2 linked regions of the Ovis aries genome follow. The protein of the gene in region 1 purifies or fractionates together with the protein of each later gene. This does not show direct contact. Links are inferred from orthologs where the notes say so. Each region holds a gene or a part of one and is shown in the gene's direction. Other genes may lie near its edges.

Region 1 (9,868 bases):
GCTATAAGTCCACAGTCACTTATGTGGAATTTCAGAACCCCCAGAATTCTGAAAACCTAGTGCGTTTGTCTTTTTCTTTTGTAAGTTTTGGACAAACTCATTTCGTAGCAAAGACTGATCAGACACCATGTATCTATTTATACTCTTTATAAACAGGCTTCCCTGGTGGCTCAGATGGTAAAGAATTTGCCTGCAATGCAGGAGATTCAGGTTCTATCCTTGGGATGGGAAGATCCCCTGGAGAGGGAAATGGCAACCCATTCCAGTATTCCTGCCTGGAGAATTCCATGGACAGAGGAGCCTGGAGGGCTATAGTCCATGGGGTTGCAAAGTCAGACACAATTCTTCTTTTTTTTTTTTTTCATAAATAGGATACCTACACTCTTCAACCAACTTGATGTGAATAGTCATATATTTTAGCACATTAACAAGTTTGATTTCATGTTGCTACTCCAGATCCTGATGAGGTCTAATATCTAATGTACTGTAAGCATCAAATTACCTTTCTAAAAAAATGTCCTAAATTCTGAAATTCAGCTCCCTTAAGGGATTTCAGGTATGGAACCATGGACCTGTGTGATGAGTAGGTGTTTACACGTCTCCTGTCTATGTGTGGGGAGCTACCATCGCTGTAGCACTGAATGGATACAGACTAGTGCCTTCCAGGGCATCTGCCCTATTCATACCTCCACCAGCAGGGGATCAGGGTGCCTCTTTCCCTGCACCAATACCAACACAACGCTCCACTTGTTTCTGGGAGGGAGGGGAGTGGGGTTATAGATTGTTATCCCTTTTTAAAAAACACTTTTCTAAAAGAAAACTTTTTTATTATAGAATAGTTTTACAGAAAAATTACAAAGATAATACAGAGTTCCTGTATGCTCCCCGCCCACCCTCCAAAATTAACTCGAGTAACACATTAGCGTGATACACTTGTCAGTGTACCGTGAATGAACCAGTACTGATAATTACTACTAACCAAAAATCCATATTTTGTTTAGACTTCCATAATTTTACCCAGGGTCCTTTTTCTGAGCCACGATCCTGTTCAGGACACTCCACAACACTCAGTTGTTATGTCTACTTAGGCTCCTTTCATTTGTGACAGTGTTTCAGGCTCTCCTTTTCTGTTTTTGGCGACCTGGACAGTTGAAGACTGGTCAGGTATTTTAAAGAATGTCCTTCAAATGGGATTTGTCTAGTGTTTCTCCAGATTAGACAAAGGTGATGGGTTTTTCAGAGGGAGACCACGAGGCAGAGAGTTGGTCTCAGCCCATCGTGTCAAGGGTGCCTGCAGTCACCATAACCTGTTGCTGTCATACTGACCCTAACTACCTGGCTGAGGTTGTGGCGGCCAGGCATCTCCTCTGTACACTCATCTTGCACCTGTTTGCATGCTGCACTCTTTGCAGGGAAATTGCTATGCACAGCCCACACTTAAGGGTGAGTGGTTATGCTCTACTTCCTAGAGGGTGGAGTGTTTACATAAATGATTTGGAACTCTTCTGAACAGGAAAATTGTTCTCCTCCATTTATTATTTATTCAGTATGCTATCTTTATCAGTATGGAACCAAGGATGCTCATTTTTAACTTTGGGTCTTAATATAGTGACTATTTGCTCCACATTTCGCCATTGGGAACTCTTCCAGTTGGCTCCTAGGTCCCTCTGACATATTCCCTTCACTGTGGGTTTTCCCTCCCTTTTTGAGCACTTCCGTATCTCCTGGCATTATAAGATGGTATAAGCTCAACTTGTATATTTCTATCCCAGTCCTAGAGTCAGCCATTTCTCCCAGGAGTTCCAGTCCTTCATCTGGAGATAAGCTTAGAAATCAGGATCTGGGTATTCAGTGTGTGTTGCTGCTGGGGCTTTGTTGCTTCTGATCCTCTCAGCTGAGAGAGCAAGGGCATACATATGTGAATACTGACCTGTATATGTACACATTTCTAGAAATATTTCTATGAAAAGCCATCTGTATCTACACTAAGCTAAACAGGAGTTTATGCTGATACCTCCAGTTCTAACCCATAACCACATGAATCATTCTAGGTTTCTTTCTTGCTTCTCTGTAGCCTCTCATGCCACTAATGAGAAGCCGGGCTCCATAACCCTCACCATTTACTTAGTTGTTGATTACCTTTATACATACGCAGGAGTCTGAGAAATGATAACCTACACTCCTGTGGAAAACAACTTTAGAATTTAGTGTTTACATGCAATTCCTTTTGCCTTTAGTCTTATAGACACCATTGCTTTCCAAAGTTACTTGGGTTAGCATCTTTCAGATGGGGTCAGTATCCCTTTCAGAGAAGCTGCTTCATACACTAAAAAAATATCTATTTGTTTATTTTTGGCTGAGCTAGGTCTTTGTTTCTGTCTTCAGGCTTTCTCTAGTTGCGGAGATCGGGGGCTACTCTTTAGTTGTGGCGCATGGGCTTCTCATTGCAGTGCCTTGTGGTTGTAGAGCACGGGCTCTAGGTGTGTGGGTTCAGTAGTTGTGGGGCACGGGTTTCGTTGTTCTGCAGCATGTGGAATATTCCCCGGGCCAGGGACTGAACTCATTTCTCTTGCATTGGTTGGATTCTTAACCCCTGGACCACCAGGGAAGCCCTTATACATTTTTAATATAGTTAGATTCTTGCATCACATTCCTTCTTCCATTCTGATTTTACAAAATCACGTGTGTAAAAGTTTGTTGGGGGTATTCAGGGGAACACGATCCCTGGCTGACCCTCTAGCTAGACCCAGGCAATGGGAGACTCCTCACCTCTTCCTCTGTCCTTGTAATGTATGCTCTGCCTACCATTCCCACAGCGAGAGTTGTTTTCAACAACATCTTCCTCTCAACACCTGGAGAAAGGAAGGTGTTTTTGAGACCATCTGGATAGTGTATGTGATTGAACCCAGTTAAGGTGTCTGTATAAACGTTTGTGATTCTGGCAGAGTGGACGTGAAAATATACTGGTCTTGTGGCTGCCTAGGACAAGTAACTGTCCTTGCTTATTAAACCTACCTACCAGTCTGAAGTGGTCTGCCTCTTTCTTCCATCTCTCCTTGCTCTGTGTATACAGAGACTAGATTGTGAACAAAGATCCACTCAAATTATTAGGACAGACCAATGGATATTAATGTGACAAAGTAGGAGACGTTTATTGATACAATTTCAGATTTCACAGTGCAACTAATCTTTAAGAAACTACAATTTGTTGAATGTTGGTGTAGTTTCCAAGAATAATACATTTATTTGAAAAGGCCAATTAAACTGCTATTTGTATAAGACTGGGTTTCTCATACTTCAATCAAAATACCATACTGCAATGCAGTGAATGCAGCAGATATGAGAATCTGGCTGTCATCGATTCAATTAAGCTAGATAGTAAAGAGATTTGCAAAAATTTTAAAGGATGCTTTGTTTCTCATAAACTTTTACTGCTCTGAAGAACCTTCAGTTCAGTTCAGTTCCGTCAGTCGCTCAGTCGTGTCCGACTCTTTGCGAAGGACCTTACTTCTTTACAAAAATGTTAACATATTTTTATTATATTAAAATGCATAAATAAATATTTAAACATTTTGTTTTTATGTCCAATATGGTAACTATCAATAAACATAACACACATAAAATTTATGAAGACTCCAAAGAATCTTTGATATATTTTAAGAATGAAAATGGGTCTTTTTTTTCTCCTTTTGGCCATGGCCACACTTGCGGGATCTTTGTTCCTGGACCAGGGATTGAACCTGGGCACTCTGATGCAGAGTCCTAACCACTGGACCCTCAGGGAATCCCCTGTAAATAGGTCCTAAGTCCAAAAAGTTTCGGAATCACTGCTCTAGAGCAATTTATCTGAGTTTGACTTTATTTACAATTCATTAGAGTCCATATACTATGAAGAAACATGTTAACTTGTAGATCTCAGGCCAGTAGAGATGCAAATCATTTCCATCCACTAGGAAAGATAATCTACACCATTTTATAGGACACCAGCCAGCTTTGTATACAATCTAGCCATCTTACTGCTTTCTGAAAGTTATAAATACCCAGTTTCTCGAAAAGCTGTCAATTAAAATGGATAAATCTCTGATGTGTTCATTATATATTTGAGTGTTATGCTTCGATTTTCAGATTATGCTTTGAAAGACCCTTAGAACACGTATACATGCTGTGTGAGTATATATATACTGTGCGTACACATATATACTACACACACACATATATACATACGTATATGTATATTTCACAGGATGGCACACCAGATTCTCTATTCTGCATCTAGCTCTGTCCATTTAATACTGGTACATGCACTCACTTGACAATCTTGTCTTCTTTTATTTATGCACATCACCTTGCATTTCACTCACGACTATGTTAGTAACGGGAAACACACCAACAGAAAGGTCGCATTTTCCTCTTTGGACTCTCAAGCAAAATGTTCTCGCTGTCCCGCCTTGTTTCTGGACATCCAGTCTGGAACACAGCCCACAAACCACGTGACAACAGCGTGGCTCACGTAACAGTTGTTGCCCGCGTTACAACTTTTCCGCCAGTTTCCAACATGGCCACTAGGCGCCCTCAATGCCGCAGCCCCGGGTCCTCTTGCGCTTCGGGGCCTTCTGCTCCTCAGCGAGACCGCCCGAGAAGCCCGGGGGCAGTAGGGGCGGTGCCCGGGTCCAGTCGGCTCCAGCGCAGTCCAGCCCAGCTCCACCGCGGGGGCGAACAAGAGCGGACCGGAAGTTTCCCGGGCGCGCTAGCGGCCGAGGCCATTACTGCAGAGCACCGGAAGTGGCCATAGGCCGGCGTCCGGGCCGCGCCCGCAGTGAGTGAGCTTTCCTCCGGCCGGCGACGCCATGGAGCCTGGGGCGGCCGAGCTGTACGATCAGGCCCTGCTGGGCATCTTGCAGCACGTGGGCAACGTTCAGGACTTTCTGCGTGTGCTTTTCGGCTTCCTCTACCGCAAAACGGACTTCTACCGCCTGCTGCGCCACCCGTCGGACCGCATGGGCTTTCCCCCGGGGGCCGCGCAGGCGCTGGTGCTGCAGGTAACGCGCGGTAGGCGGGAAGCTTGGGGTGAGGTGGGGAAGATCGTGGGAGCCCCGACCCCCGCGAACCCGCTCCCGTAGTCTCCCACCCTCTGGGAGCTCAGGCTCCTGCGAGCCCGCCGCTTCCTCCGCTGCCGGCCTCAGTTCATCCTCTGGCGCTTCCCCCGACCCGCCTTCTGCGGCCGCGGCTTCTGCCGAGATGCTGGTCTGTTATCAGTTTACTCCTGTGCGAGAGGTGCCGGCTCTATAGCAGCTTGGTCCGATAGGGTGCATTTGGATATCAGAAGCTTAGGGCTCCGGTCAGCTCCAGCAGCGCGTAACCCTTCGAGTGACAGAGAATGAAAACTGCAGGCTAGACTTGGGGAAGGGGCGGCGGCAGCACGGACACCTGCACACCCCAGAATTACGACTACTGGACGAGAGGGAGGCTGTATGATGGGTGTGGGTCTCTTATTTGAAATGTGACTTTTTACATCGAAGACATAGTATAATAGTACTTAATAAGTTTACATATGAGCATATATGTGTGCATCCCAGGTTAAGCTTATTGTTGGAGGCTGTCATTCACTGTAGTTGACGGGGTATTTGAAATGTAATAAGCAAGAGTTCACACTCAGCCGCTGCAGGCATTAGAGATACACTGGTTATGCGGATGGTTAAATAATGGTTTCTCTGCTTGGGACACTTACGCTATATTTAAAGAGATGAAATACAGTAGCAGGGATCTTTGCCTGTTACCTGACAAAGCCATTGGAAGGAAGGGAATAGAAATGATCTTTTGGAAATGAAGACGAGTTTTGTAGAGGAGGTGGAATTTTGATGGGATCGACAGAGGATACTCAGTCAAGCATTGAGCCAGGAACCTGAGAAGGTGGAAATGCTGGCGATACCTCTCACTGTCGTCTAGCACTTTACAGTTTATGAAGTGATTTCAAAGGTTTATCTCGTGAAGTCTTTTTACTCGCTTCAGGTTGGCCCGATATTACTTTCCTAAGTGCCTGCATGAAGAAACAAAAGCTTAGAATGTTTGAATAACTACCAGAGATAATATGGTCAAATGAGGAGTGAGGTTGGTATTCAGTTTGAAAACTTAAGGCTGTTCCTCATCCTTGTAGTGGTTAAGTACCATCCAAGTGATCAGAGAACTGTGTGTCAGAGATGGTTTTTAGCAAATCCTTTGGCAAATTAATAATTTCCCGGAAGCCTGTGAAGTAGATAAGGATGAATTTTATGTGGCAAATGAGGGTGCTAGTTCAGCAGATCAAGTGGTTTGACCAAACTCATCATAGAGCTAGAGCTCAAAACTTCATTTTTCTGATTCCATATCTTTCTGTTCTATTATTTAACCAATCCATTGTAGAGTGGCAACACTTTTGTCTAGGGTGATCTTTTGCAGAAAAAAGAAAGGACCATTTACTGAGCACCTAGTAGTTGTTATGTAATTTTTGTTCTAGGTTGTCATTTGTTCCTAACAACCTGAATAGGTTGATCTTTTTCCTTGTTTTACAGGTAAACTGACAGAGGTAATTCATGAATCTGGTAACAGTATGTAAGACACCTACTATGTTTTAGACACTCTCAAAGGTTAAGACTTGGTGAACAGTTTAATAAAGTGGAGGTGGGGAACAAGGCAGAGAGAGAGGTGGGATGGGCCAGCGGTGACCCAAGGTTTCAGTCCAGGGCACTGTAATATTGGTAATGCATTCACTGAACTGTCACCTGAGTTTAGGGGAAGAAGCTTAGTTTTAGACAAGTTGAATTGGAGATTTCAGACAGAAGTCTCTGTCCATAGGCTGTTGAATTGTGGGACTGAATCTCATGGGAGGTAGAAGAATCTGAGTGGTTTGAAGGAGAGGAGCTGAAGGTGAAGGAGCACGGCAGAGAGAAGGTGCCTTTGGACAGAAGGACCCCAGAGAAGGAACTGGAGAAGCAAGAGGCTGTGGGAGTGGGAGGGGGATGGAAGGAAGTGGGCAGCGCAGTAAGTTCCATGGAAACCAGGAGGGACAATTTCTAGCAGGTAGTTAAGAGGAGTGTAGTGTTTTTTCAGAGTGGTTCTCAATCGTCAGCATTGCCCAAGGAACTTTAAAAGATATCCTCTGGTTATTTTGGTTGAGTAAATCAGGGTAAATCCTGGGGAGCTGTTCTTTTATTCACAGAGGCATTGGGCAGTGGGGTGCTTGGGGGTCTCTTCAGAACTCAGGCAAAGAGAGTTTGGATGGCAGTATTGTAGTGCTCCATTCTGGAACTCCTGTTTTCCCCTGATATTTGGGGGTATGGGATGTTTGTGTGGTTTAAACCTTCTTCAACTTTTCCTCCCAGTTCTAAGGGGTTGCACAGCCAGGCTGTACAGTTTAAAGGACCTTCAGCAGGAAAGATGCATGTGGAAATTGTATTCCACTCCCTTATTTATAAGTATATTTTAAGAAAACAGTAATTGAGACTGACATTTTGTTCATTTCAGTTGAACGTGTGTTTATTCTGGAGTTCAGTTTGGGAAGCCTGCTTAAAAGGTACCCCCCCCCCCCGCCCCCCGCCCACCTCCCCGTGAGAGTCAGGAAAGCTAGCTCTTTTTGCTCCTCCCGGAGCTTCTTGGGAAGTCTTGGGAGAATCACTCTTCTCTCTGTCAGTTGAGAAGGTTGATTGGAGGTCAGGGACACGTCTTCCAGCTCCGCATTCCAGCATTCTGAAATGAGTGCTGAGGTCAGCGGCGATGTGAGAGGTGAAGCAGGTGTCATCTTAGAGGAGGCAGGAATGCTCAGTAAGCAAGGGTAGTGTGGACCACAGTGTCATCAGGAGTATGAGGCCTGGGGTCCAAGGGAGGTTCCCAGTGTTTGGAACGAGCCCTTGCTGTTACTTCTTTTCTGGAGTTAAGATGAAGATGTGGTGTGTCAGGAAGATGAACGGCTCTGAGGGCAGTGGGTCTGGTGTCTGGTGTCATTGACATGGGTGTGAGAGGAGTGAGTCAGGGGCTCAGGTTCTCTGGAGAAGCAGAGATAGGTACTGTTCCTAGTTTTTAACCTTAGGATTTCCCTTGCCTTCCTTTGCCTCCATTTCCTTTCAGTGTTTAATGTGTTTCCTGTATAATTGTTTACTTTCTTCTTTCATTGGCAGAATCTTGGGCAAGGTACTCTCTGAGCTTAGTCTTCCCTCATCTTTGGAATATCAGTGCTATCTTCCTAACAGCATTTTCCTGAGGGTTGTGAGAGAATGTTTATAAAAACACTGACATTGTAACTTCTCTTGTTCTGTCTTCTTGCCCAGTGCACACAGCAGTTATTTAGCCCCTGTCTGCATTCTAACCCTTTGGAAACTGACTCCTACACACTTTAAAACATTTTTATTTTGTTAAGACTACTTTTTAGAGTTGTTTTAGGTTCAGAACAAAATTGAGGGGAAAGTACAGAGATTCCCATTTACCCCCTGCCACCCCCACCCCTACAGCTTCCCCTATTGTCAATATCCCCCGCCAGAGTGGTACATTTCTTACAATGGATGGACCTGCATTGACGTATCATAGTCACCCAAACCCAGACTTCACTTTGGAGGTATTCTTAGTGTTGTTCACTTTATGAGGTTTGGACAAATGTATGATGACATGCATCCCTCATTATGACATCACACAGAGTATTTTCACTCCCCTAAAAAAATCCTGTGTAGTCTTACCTGTTCATTCCTTTCTGCCCTCAACCTCTGGCAACCACTGGTCTTTTTATTGTCTCCAAAGTTTTGCCTTTTCCACAGTGTCATATAGTTGGAATCACACATTGTGTAGCATTTTCAAATTGGCTTCTTTTACTGATAATGCATTTAAATAACCTCCATGCCTCTTCATGGCTGATAGCTCATTTCTTTTTATGGCAGAATAATATTCCATTGTCTGGATGTACCAGTTTGTTTATCCCATCATTTATTGAAGGATATCTTGGTTGCTTCCAAGTTTTGGCTATTATGAATAAAGTTGCTATAAACATCCATGGACAGGTTTTTGTTGGTACATGTTTTCAACTTCTTTGGGTAAATACCAAGGAGCATAGTTGCTGGATTGAATGTAAGGGTCTCCTCCCACCCACTTTTCAAGGTGGATCTTCTGGCTTTCCTGTCTCCAGCTGCCATAAGAGATACTTCTTGATGAGCCCACCTCTTGGCGCTGTGACATTTCCTCTGGAAGATGTACCTCTCATTCAAGGTCTGATTCAGACCCTCTTCTTCTAAGAAATGTCCTTAGCTCGCTCTCACCAGAATGCTCGTTTGCACCCACATTCCGATGGCATCACATGTATCTATCACAGCCTTTCCTGTCAGACTTGTCACTTCTGGGTCTGTCCTGGCCACACTTCAGGGTTATGTGCAGCCTAGAATAGTGCATGCAAAGTGCCGTTTTCCTGTGCACTTTTTGGATGGAGAGTTGCAGCACTTTTTTGGGTGTGACTGTGTCCCAGGAAAGATTAATGACTGATCCACATGCCAGGAAATTGAGTTCTTCAAGGGTGGGAGCTGTCGTTGGGTTTTTGGTGCTCCTGGCAAGCTTTAGGCACATTGTGAATGTCTTTTGAATTCCCAGGGTAAGACTTGCACTGTCCCTCCTCCCATGCAGTGTAGGATGATAGCAGCAATCCAGCGAGCCGGCCTATATTGTGGATTGAAATTCAACTAATTCCCCATCTTCCCTTTTAGCATCTGAGTTGTTGGGGCCTTTATAGCTCTCAGCACCAGGGCAGTGGGTTCTTTGCATTTTGAACAAGACTCTCTGGGGCTATAGAAGTAATGACAGATGAGACCATTTAGTTACACATCCTTTTGACTTAAATGTTGGGCTCATAGGCATGTAA
Region 2 (9,987 bases), on another chromosome or scaffold:
GTGTCTGACTCTTTTAGACCCTGTGGACTGTAGCCTGCCAGGCTCCTCTGTCCATGGAATTCTCCAGACGAGAATACTGGAGTGGTTAGCCATTCCCTTCTCCAGGGAATCTTCCCAACCCAGGGATCAAACTCAGGTTTCCTGCATTGCAGGTAGATTCTTTACCATCTGAGGCTCCAGGGAAGACCAGACAGTATGTGGATCAGATCATTAATCAGAAGCCCTGGGTCTGCCCAGCAGGTTGGAGGAAAGAACCGTATGGGGCTTCTTTTCCTGGGAGGGCTTTGTAGACCTCTTGGTTATTGGACTCCGCTTTCTGCTTCCTTTGAACTCTGCGGGCCCTCATGTTTTCAAAAGTATTCAACATAAGGAAGATTTCTCTTACATGTGTTTCCACAAAATCTGAAAATATCATGCAACTTTAACTTTCTATTTGTGTCCACCTGAGAAAACTTAAAGCCAGAAACCACAACAGAACAGGAAGTGACTGTGCAAATAGGAAAGGGCAGTGAAAGTAAAGGGAGTGAAAGCTGAGGGCCCCCTGGGGATTTCAGCCCTGAAGGAGAAGGAAAGTACTGCGATATGGAAGCAAAGGAATAGATCCAGGAAACCAGGCAGATGTGCCAAGAGAAGTGGACCAGGCTCCAGAATCAGCAAAAGAATACGGGATGTTTTTCCCATTCCAGCCTAGGAGATTCCCTTCTCAATTTTGGATATTGATTTAAGCCATTGTGCTGAGTCAATATAAATCAAATATGTCTTTGATATGATCATATCTATTTAAAAAAAAAACTTTTTATATTATATTGGAGTATAGCCGATTAACAAACAGTGTTGTGAGTTTCAGAAGAGCAGCGAAAGGACTCAGCCATACATAAATGTGTATCCATTCGCCCCTAAAACTGCCCTCCCATCCAGGCTGCCACATAACATTGAACAGAGTTCCATTTGCTATACAGTAGGTCCTTGTTGGTTATCCATTTTAAATATAGTAGTGTGTACATGACCATATCTATTTTTCACTCTTCAAGGTTCTTACCAATTCAGTTGACTTTGTCAGTCAGCCATCAAAAGTGAAATGGAACAGTGTCAAACCAGTTTATCAAAAAAAGACATAAAATATTCTCATATAGGTTTATATGGGGAAAATGAGGAAAAGAGTTACTTGTTGTTAACTCCAAGGAAGGGGCTTTCTAAGAGCTTTAAAATGTACTTACATCAGCTTTGCAAATATTGTTCATTCCGCTTGAGGAAACTGAGACTCAAAGAAATTGAGTTGCCTTCAAGCAGAATAAGGTTTCATGCAGAACCTCAGACAGTGAGTTAGAGTCTTTAAGCAACATGTTGGATTTCTGTGGGTTTTTTTGTTTTTTTTTTTAACTTGCAGAAATATTCTTTTTCTTTTTCCCTGGGCTTCTCTTTTTGGTGGCTACATCTTTACTTTCTGATGATTTTAGTCTATTTTTTGTAATATGATTTTAATCTATTTTTTCTTTACCTTAGATTTTTGGGGAAGAGAAATTCTCTGATCCAGTTTCATTTTTCCATCTAATGAAGGAAAATCCTCAGAATTTTATATCTACTACAGTATGATTATTTTTGAGTCCACAAAATTTCCTGATTTTATAAAGCCAATGCTGACCTCTGTAGAACAATTCCAAAGTTAATTAAGAAAGATCACCAAACAAAAATATCAAAGTATAGATACGAGAAAAAATTCTTTTCATATATATAGCTTTACCAGAAAATGAACTGTATTATAAACAGCAATGGTGTAAACACAGTAACAGTAAGGAAAGTTAGGTGATCAGAGTAATAGAGAAAATAAATCTCTGGGGAGTTCCCTGGCACTCCAGTGGTTACAACTCTGTGCTTTCACTGCTGTGGCCTGGGGTTCAATCCCTGGTCCAGGAACTAAGATTCCACATGCTGCATGGTACAGAAAAACAAACAAAATCTCAGAAATTGTTATATAATCTATAGTAATTAAGTTTGAAAGTAACATCTTAGATGTTAATATGGAAGAAAAAAGTTTCAATACATGGTTACAATATAAATGCCTGGTAATCTAGACACAAAGTTTATATTCTCATCTCATAGATGAAAAAAATTCTCATGTACTATAAAAATAAATGTGAAAGATTTAAAACATAAAGGGAATTGATAATCCATAAGATCAACAGAAGAATGAAAATGGGTGAGAATTGGTTCTACATATTCAGTATTCTGGCATTAGAAGAAAATATAAAGAAAATGAGCTGGTGTTTGTAAAGATAAAGTTGACAAATATTTACACCATAGGAATATAGTTACCATCTGCACTCTAGCCATAGCACTCTGCTAAGTTCTACAACTGTACATCCAGTGTCAAGTCTTAGATTCTTGAAACTGCATCCTCCAGTTTCTGGTGACAAGAGCTTTTTCTTTTGCTTATGGAGTTGTATATAATGTAGTTGAAATGAATTAACAAATTGATTAATATTTTTATGTTTCCTTCTAGCAAAAAAGGAAGTTCCAAGAGGGCTGGCATTTCATTTTTTCCTTCATCCTCACCTTTTAATCCTTCGAAGGCATAAAACCTGAGATTTAGATACATAACTTTAATAAAATGAATGAATGAACTGCAGTTCCACCCTTTGAGTTTGTGAAATCAGTCTTGACATTAATTTCTTTAAGAGAAACAAATGCAAAAAGATTTGAAAGTAAAACTTTAAATAATAATTTTAAAATAAAAAGATGAACACTTGTGTAATTAGCACAAAACAAAAATACTGAAATATAAGAGATATAGTAAAATATTTAAGTATATAAGTACATTAGTAAGATTATCTGCAATTGTCTGGTGCCTGCTATGAACTAAATGCTTTTACTTATAGTTGTTTAATACTACCAATAAATATTTTGACAAATTTAACCCATTTATTTTATGATGAAGGCAGAAAGAAAGAGGCTTTTGAAATTACTAATATGTGGGAGTATGATGAATTGTATCCATCCACAGTAATTGTTTAAGAGCATACCTCTAATTCCTCAGCTCTTAGACTCTCTTGCAAGCTTGATAATAAAGAGAAGGATTTCATGATTTCTTGCTCTGACAACTTCCCAGGTATTGCAGCTCTGTTCTTTCTTTTCCAGAGAGAAACTGTTTGCTTGGAAGTGCTTTTTCACAACCATTCTGGAATTTTCACAGTTCAGGGGAATTCTTCTGTCTCCAGCTTCAAGCAGGCCTCCAGGACTTGTCCATGCTGATGAAACCCAGTGAAGAATTCCTCCATGCTGGTCTCATTCCAACCAACCTCTTCTGCTGAACAGTTTGAAGACTTGCTGAAGCTTCTGATGGAACATAGCAGTGACCCTTTTGGACCTTGCTGCCATCTGCAGGAAACAACAGAAGACCATTGGAACCAGCTGAATGTCCATCTTTAGGGACTAATCAAATAATGTAGGACCCATCCATTCAGTAGGAAACAATACAGCTATTTAAAAAGATAAAGAAGTTCTCTATAAATGACTAAGATCTCCAGGTTAAAAAAGATAGGTGCAGAACAGTGAGTATAGTATGTTATCTTCATATTTTCATCAGTTAGCTGATACATAAAGAAACTGGAAGGATGTATAAGACAGTAGTAACTTCAAAATGTGGAAAGTGTTGGAAGCAGTTGTCAAAGTATACATTTATTCATATATCCAAATTTAAATTGACTAGTAATTTTTAAAATATAAGTTAATCAACTATATTTGAATTTTTTAAAATGTAAGTTTTAAAATAACCATTAAGGGAAAGATCAGTAGTGGGATAAATATACACTCAAAGTGTTGACTTTAAAAAAGTACTTAAAAAGAGTTGTGAGTTAAGTTTTATTGGGGGCAAAATGAGACTATTGCCCTGGAGATAGCATTTCACATACTCTGGGAAGCTGCTCCAAAGAGGTAGAGGGGTGGTTGGTATATATGTGATTTTAGTGAAGAGAGGGGTATATGCAATCAAGCATGTTTTTTTGCAGAAGGTTTTGCTAGTCACGAGGGAGCAGATATCACCATGAAGGAATTTAGTGCTTTTCTAGATATGAGGAGATGCAAAAATTGTGCTCCTAAAATCAGCTCCTGAAAATATCTATCTGAAGACCTGTTCTGCCAGTTTTTCCAGAGCACAAGAGTGCCTCCTTTCTGATCTCCACTCTGAACACCCATCAGGTGGTGTTGAAGGTCAGCAGCTACAACAGCAGGAGAGATTTATTCAATCCTTGTAGAGGTAGATGGCAAGTGCCAATGAAAAGTGCCAATATGTAGTTTTTCAAAACATCTCTGGTGACAATATTTTGCAAAAAACTTTGTATGTCTTCAAGCAGCATTCTAACATTAGGATTTATCCCAAAATGGGAAGTTTTGTGCTCGGAGTCTGTAACATTGGAGAACAACGAAGTATATATTCAGGAACAAATGACAATTGTCTATCCATTTAAAAACTTGTGAGTGGAAAACAAAAGCACGAAAAATTTACTGATGGAATTCTGCTGCATGGCAAAAATTCAGCCTATATTATTTACATAGCATGGTCATAATTTGGTATTTTAAGAGAGGCAAATAACCTGTTTTAAATGATTAAAATCTGAAAATATGTACCCAGAGTTATACTTGAACTGTCTATTAAATTGTGTGGGATAGGTTTTTTGTTGGTTTTTTTTTTGGTTGAGGAGTTTGAGGGATCTTGGTCTGCAGCCAGGGTTTGAACCCTGGCCACAGCAGTGAAAGTGCCGAGTCCTAACCACTGACCTGCCAGAACATTCCCAGTGTGGGATAAGAATTAATAAAGTTTGTTTTTTATAGAGGAAAACTAAAAGCATCTTTCCCCTAAGGAAGCCTTCTGCCAGGTTTCAGCTTCCAGAAAAGCTGCATTTCATTGTTATCCAAAAGGCAGAAGCCAAGAAATGTAAATCTCGAAGTATTCATTTAGAGGAACAGCTCAGCTGCAGTGAAAGAGTTATATTAAAAATAATATCCGGGCACCCATTCCTATTTAATAATACCACATACAAAGTATCCCGAAGACACCCCGCTGGCCCACCCAGCACAGCTCTGCGCGACCCAAACCCCGCCTGCTCGAGGCACGGCCCACATCCTCCCATCCCCCACACAAGCCCGCCTACTGGCTAGGTCGGGCGGCTGCGCAGCCGCAGTAGCTGCCACGGCCGCTCCTAGCCCGGGGGATCCTGGGACGAGGCCTTTCCGGAAGGACCGGCTCGGCGTTGGGAGCTCGGCCCGTGTTCCAGGCCCAGGCTCGTGTTCCAGGTCCTTGCTCCAGGACGGGCCGGTAGCCGCGGCGACGCTCAAAGGGCGGCGGAGGGCGCGGCGGGCCGCTCTCTGAGGTGCCGGCCCTCGCCGTCGAGCGAGACGCCGGGCCGCAGGACGTGGCGGCACCTCCCCCTTAGCCCGGAGCAGAACTGCGGGAAGAGCAGCGCAGGCCGGACCAGGTGAACCGGGTCACTTAACTGCCTCAGGTGATGAATCATCTACATAGTAGTCAGATTTGAGGTCCACAGCCCTCTGTGGGCCAGCTGCAGAACAATTTTCAATGTGGGACTATTGTGTTCTGAGGCGTGCTGCAGTGACAGTTTGCCCTTGATAAGGAAAGCGAGCTCTCTTGCTCTTGGGACATCCTCGTTTCCTTTAAAGCTTTCCGGTCGTAACCTCTTTGTCCGGCATACATCTTTGTGCAAGAGGAAGGCGTTCACATGAAAGTGTCTCTTGGTAACGGTGAAATGGGCGTCTCCGCCCATTTACAGCCTTGCAAGGCAGGAACCACACGTTTTTTTACCAGCAATACTCACAGTTCGGTGGTACTGCAAGGTTTTGATCAACTTAGAATAGAAGGATTGCTTTGTGATGTGACTCTGGTGCCAGGTGATGGAGATGAAATCTTCCCTGTTCATAGAGCTATGATGGCGTCCGCTAGTGATTACTTCAAGGCTATGTTCACAGGTGGAATGAAAGAACAGGATTTAATGTGCATTAAGCTTCACGGAGTGAACAAAGTTGGTCTGAAGAAAATTATTGATTTTATTTATACTGCAAAGCTTTCTCTTAATATGGACAATCTTCAGGACACTCTTGAAGCTGCCAGCTTTTTGCAAATCTTGCCTGTTTTAGACTTCTGTAAAGTGTTTCTTATTTCAGGAGTCTCTTTAGATAACTGTGTTGAAGTTGGACGAATTGCTAACACCTACAATCTTATAGAAGTAGATAAATATGTCAATAATTTCATTCTGAAGAATTTTCCTGCCTTACTGAGTACTGGAGAGTTTCTAAAACTCCCTTTTGAACGGCTTGCCTTTGTGCTTTCTAGCAATAGCCTTAAGCACTGTACTGAACTTGAGCTCTTTAAGGCTGCCTGTCGCTGGCTAAGGTTGGAAGATCCTCGGATGGATTATGCTGCAAAATTAATGAAGAATATTCGATTTCCACTGATGACACCACAGGATCTCATCAATTATGTGCAGACAGTAGATTTTATGAGAACAGACAATACGTGTGTGAATTTGCTTTTGGAAGCTAGCAATTACCAAATGATGCCATATATGCAGCCAGTGATGCAGTCAGATAGAACCGCCATTCGATCTGATTCGACACACTTGGTTACATTAGGAGGAGTTTTGAGGCAGCAGCTGGTTGTCAGTAAAGAATTACGGATGTATGATGAGAGGGCTCAAGAGTGGAGATCTTTAGCCCCCATGGATGCTCCTCGTTACCAGCATGGCATTGCTGTCATTGGAAACTTTCTTTATGTAGTTGGTGGTCAAAGTAATTATGATACAAAAGGAAAAACTGCTGTTGATACAGTTTTCAGATTTGATCCTCGATATAATAAATGGATGCAGGTTGCATCATTAAATGAAAAGCGCACATTTTTCCACTTGAGCGCCCTCAAAGGACATTTGTATGCTGTTGGTGGGCGAAGTGCAGCTGGTGAGCTGGCCACTGTAGAATGTTACAATCCAAGAATGAATGAGTGGAGCTATGTTGCGAAAATGAGTGAACCCCACTATGGCCATGCTGGAACAGTGTATGGAGGCTTAATGTATATTTCAGGAGGAATTACTCATGACACTTTCCAAAATGAGCTCATGTGTTTTGACCCTGATACAGACAAATGGACACAGAAGGCTCCAATGACAACAGTCAGAGGTCTGCATTGCATGTGTACAGTTGGAGACAAGCTCTATGTCATTGGTGGCAATCACTTCAGAGGAACAAGTGATTATGATGATGTTCTAAGCTGTGAATACTATTCGCCAACTCTTGACCAGTGGACACCAATTGCTGCCATGTTAAGAGGTCAAAGTGATGTTGGAGTTGCTGTCTTTGAAAATAAAATCTATGTCGTAGGTGGATATTCTTGGAATAATCGTTGTATGGTAGAAATTGTCCAGAAATATGACCCAGAAAAGGATGAGTGGCATAAAGTTTTTGACCTTCCAGAGTCACTTGGTGGCATTCGAGCTTGTACTCTCACAGTTTTTCCACCTGAAGAAAATCCTGGGTCACCTTCCAGAGAATCACCTCTTTCAGCACCTTCAGATCATTCTTAGGACCAAGGTGTAAAACCTTTGCAGTGCATCAAGGATGATCCCGTAATTCCCCTTCAGTTGTATCTTCTTACAATGATTGGTACAGTTATTAGATTAAAAAGGTAATTGATGTTATTTGTATTGTTTGGCTTAGTATGTTTATCAAATGGTTAACAACTGTATTCTGCAAATGTATGTGTTCAACATAGCTATTTTAACAAATGTAAAAAGCAGAAAAATTGTTAGATATCTTTTTGTGGTGTTGTGTAAGGCAGAGTGTAGGTGATTGAAGTAAATGTATAATTATGTTCATTATGCTTCAAAGTTGAAAGTTTTCATCTTTGACTACAAGACATCAAAGGGAGGATGCCTACTATAACCTAAAATAATAAACAAAAAAGGTCGTCAAGCCTTATTAGCTGCTTCCCTTTTTTCATGGTTTGTGACATAGCTGCTGACTCACCAAATTGTGTGGGTACATTCAGAATATGTGACAATTCTTCAGCAGACTGGAGGAATATTAACTCAAAAACTAGTATAACCCCAAGTCAGCGTTTCATATCTCTTTCTGGGGAGAGGAAGAGAGAAAATACATTACCACACACATACATATGTATATACATGCATATACATATATAATTTTTAAATTGATTGGCACTTCAGCTATAGTAAATTGTAAATTTAAACTCTTCTACATAGCAGCTATTTCTATTCAAATGGGAATTCACTACTAGAGAATAAATGTCTATGTAGTCTTACTGCAGTGATGTAGATAAGGACTTGAACATTAAATTATTAATAACCAAATAGGTCATTTGACTGAATCATTACTATAGATGAAACTTAACTTTTCCTGCTTGTATATTGTTTTCTGTAGAGTTGCCTTTATACAGATTATTTAACAGAGTTCAAGTCTCAGAGAATTGTTTTTGCTCAGTAAATTTAGGCTCTGCTACTTTCCACATTTGTGTTCAGTAAAACTTAAGAAAAAGACAAAAGCATGCTCAACAAAGCTGTAGGTTTTTAAGTTCGGTCTCTCAACTTAGTCATTCTGACATAACTATTTGATTTGAGGTGGTTGCTGTGGTGCTGCTCCAGCTTTGTGTGATCCGTCTTGAGGCTGTGATCTGAGCAAGTGGAAGATGTACTTTCGGCATCACATCAGAAAATGTCCTTTTGGCTATGTCTGAAGGACAGGACCAACTTCAGATTCCCTAAGAAGCCAGCTATAGAAAGCCTAGGACACTGTTGTCTTGCAGGCAGTACTAAAATATATCTTCAGCCTCTTCAATACCAGAGGTGTCCCTACCGGTTGAGAACCACAAGGGGAGACCTTAATGGGACCTTATCAGCAAATGGAATCATATGTGTCCTCTGAAGTGAGTGATTCTGAAGAATCTGAAGAGGTACTTCCCTGGAATAATTGCCTGCCTGAAGAAAAAATTTATATACATACATTTACATGTATATTAATATTTATATCCCTGTACTTGGGAGATTGTCATAGTGTAAATCAGAAACAACCTTGTTATTGACAATCTCAGGAACCAAAACGAAAGGAATTGGCTTCAAGGGATCTGAGCCTCACTGCCCTTTTCATTTTAATGATTTCTGCATTGGCAGAAAATTTCATACTTCCTATTTTTTTAAATGACTCAATTTTTTATTACTAAATATAGCACACGTGAGTACATTTAGAAAATAGAAAAAGTAGAAATTGTAATAACTTCATGCATCAAATAAGCAAGAAAGAACATCTCAGTTATTTCCTTAATTATTAACTAGGTTAAATATTTGCATTTTTTCAGTAGCTGTGTTCCTCTTTAACCAAATGTTAATATCCTTTGCTCTTGTAATACCTATTGGAGTTGCTTTCTTTTTCATATCAAGTTATAGCATCTTTATATAATAAATATAATTTAACTGGCATTTGCTTGCATTGACTTTTTTCTCAGTCTGTTAGAAGTTTACAAGACAGGACATTCAGTTAATTTTTGAGATCAAATTTGTCCATCTTTTGCATTTTGACCTTTTGGGTATAAATTTGCCAAGTTTCCTTTATTTTTTATGTCATTTTTGACGCTAATTCTGACATGCTGAAATGGTACTGTTCTGCATAAGCTTTTTTCTTTTCCTTGTTGAGAAAAGGTTTCTGCCTTCTATTACATTTGACCCTGTTGTTTTGTAATTAAATATTATTTATCCAGGTAAGTTAACTGCTCCACCTATACCCCCTACCTCCAGCCTCACACATCCCACCTCTCATCCTTTTACTTTATAATTTTCTGCAGTTTACAAGTCTCTTGATAATCATAAAACAACTCACTGGTGCTTTGCTAATTAAATATATTAAATCTGGCATTCCTTCCTTACAGATATGGAAATTTTAGATGACTGAAATGATTGGGATGATACCTGTTTT

Evidence for each region. The genes of interacting proteins can lie anywhere in the genome.
Region 2: the proteins of NUDCD3 (region 1) and KLHL9 purify together in Homo sapiens (co-immunoprecipitation; 3 studies listed by BioGRID and IntAct, with this or other methods). This does not show direct contact. The link is inferred for Ovis aries from reciprocal best matches to the Homo sapiens genes NUDCD3 and KLHL9.

Annotation. Positions count from the first base shown.
Region 1 is NC_056057.1:78,565,765-78,575,632, forward strand, and holds the start of NUDCD3 (nudC domain-containing protein 3), read left to right. Parts: upstream 1-4,815; 5' UTR 4,816-4,847; coding exon 4,848-5,039; intron 5,040-9,868.
Region 2 is NC_056055.1:89,890,491-89,900,477, reverse strand, and holds the start of KLHL9 (kelch-like protein 9), read left to right. Parts: upstream 1-5,202; 5' UTR 5,203-5,732; coding exon 5,733-7,586; 3' UTR 7,587-7,687; intron 7,688-9,987.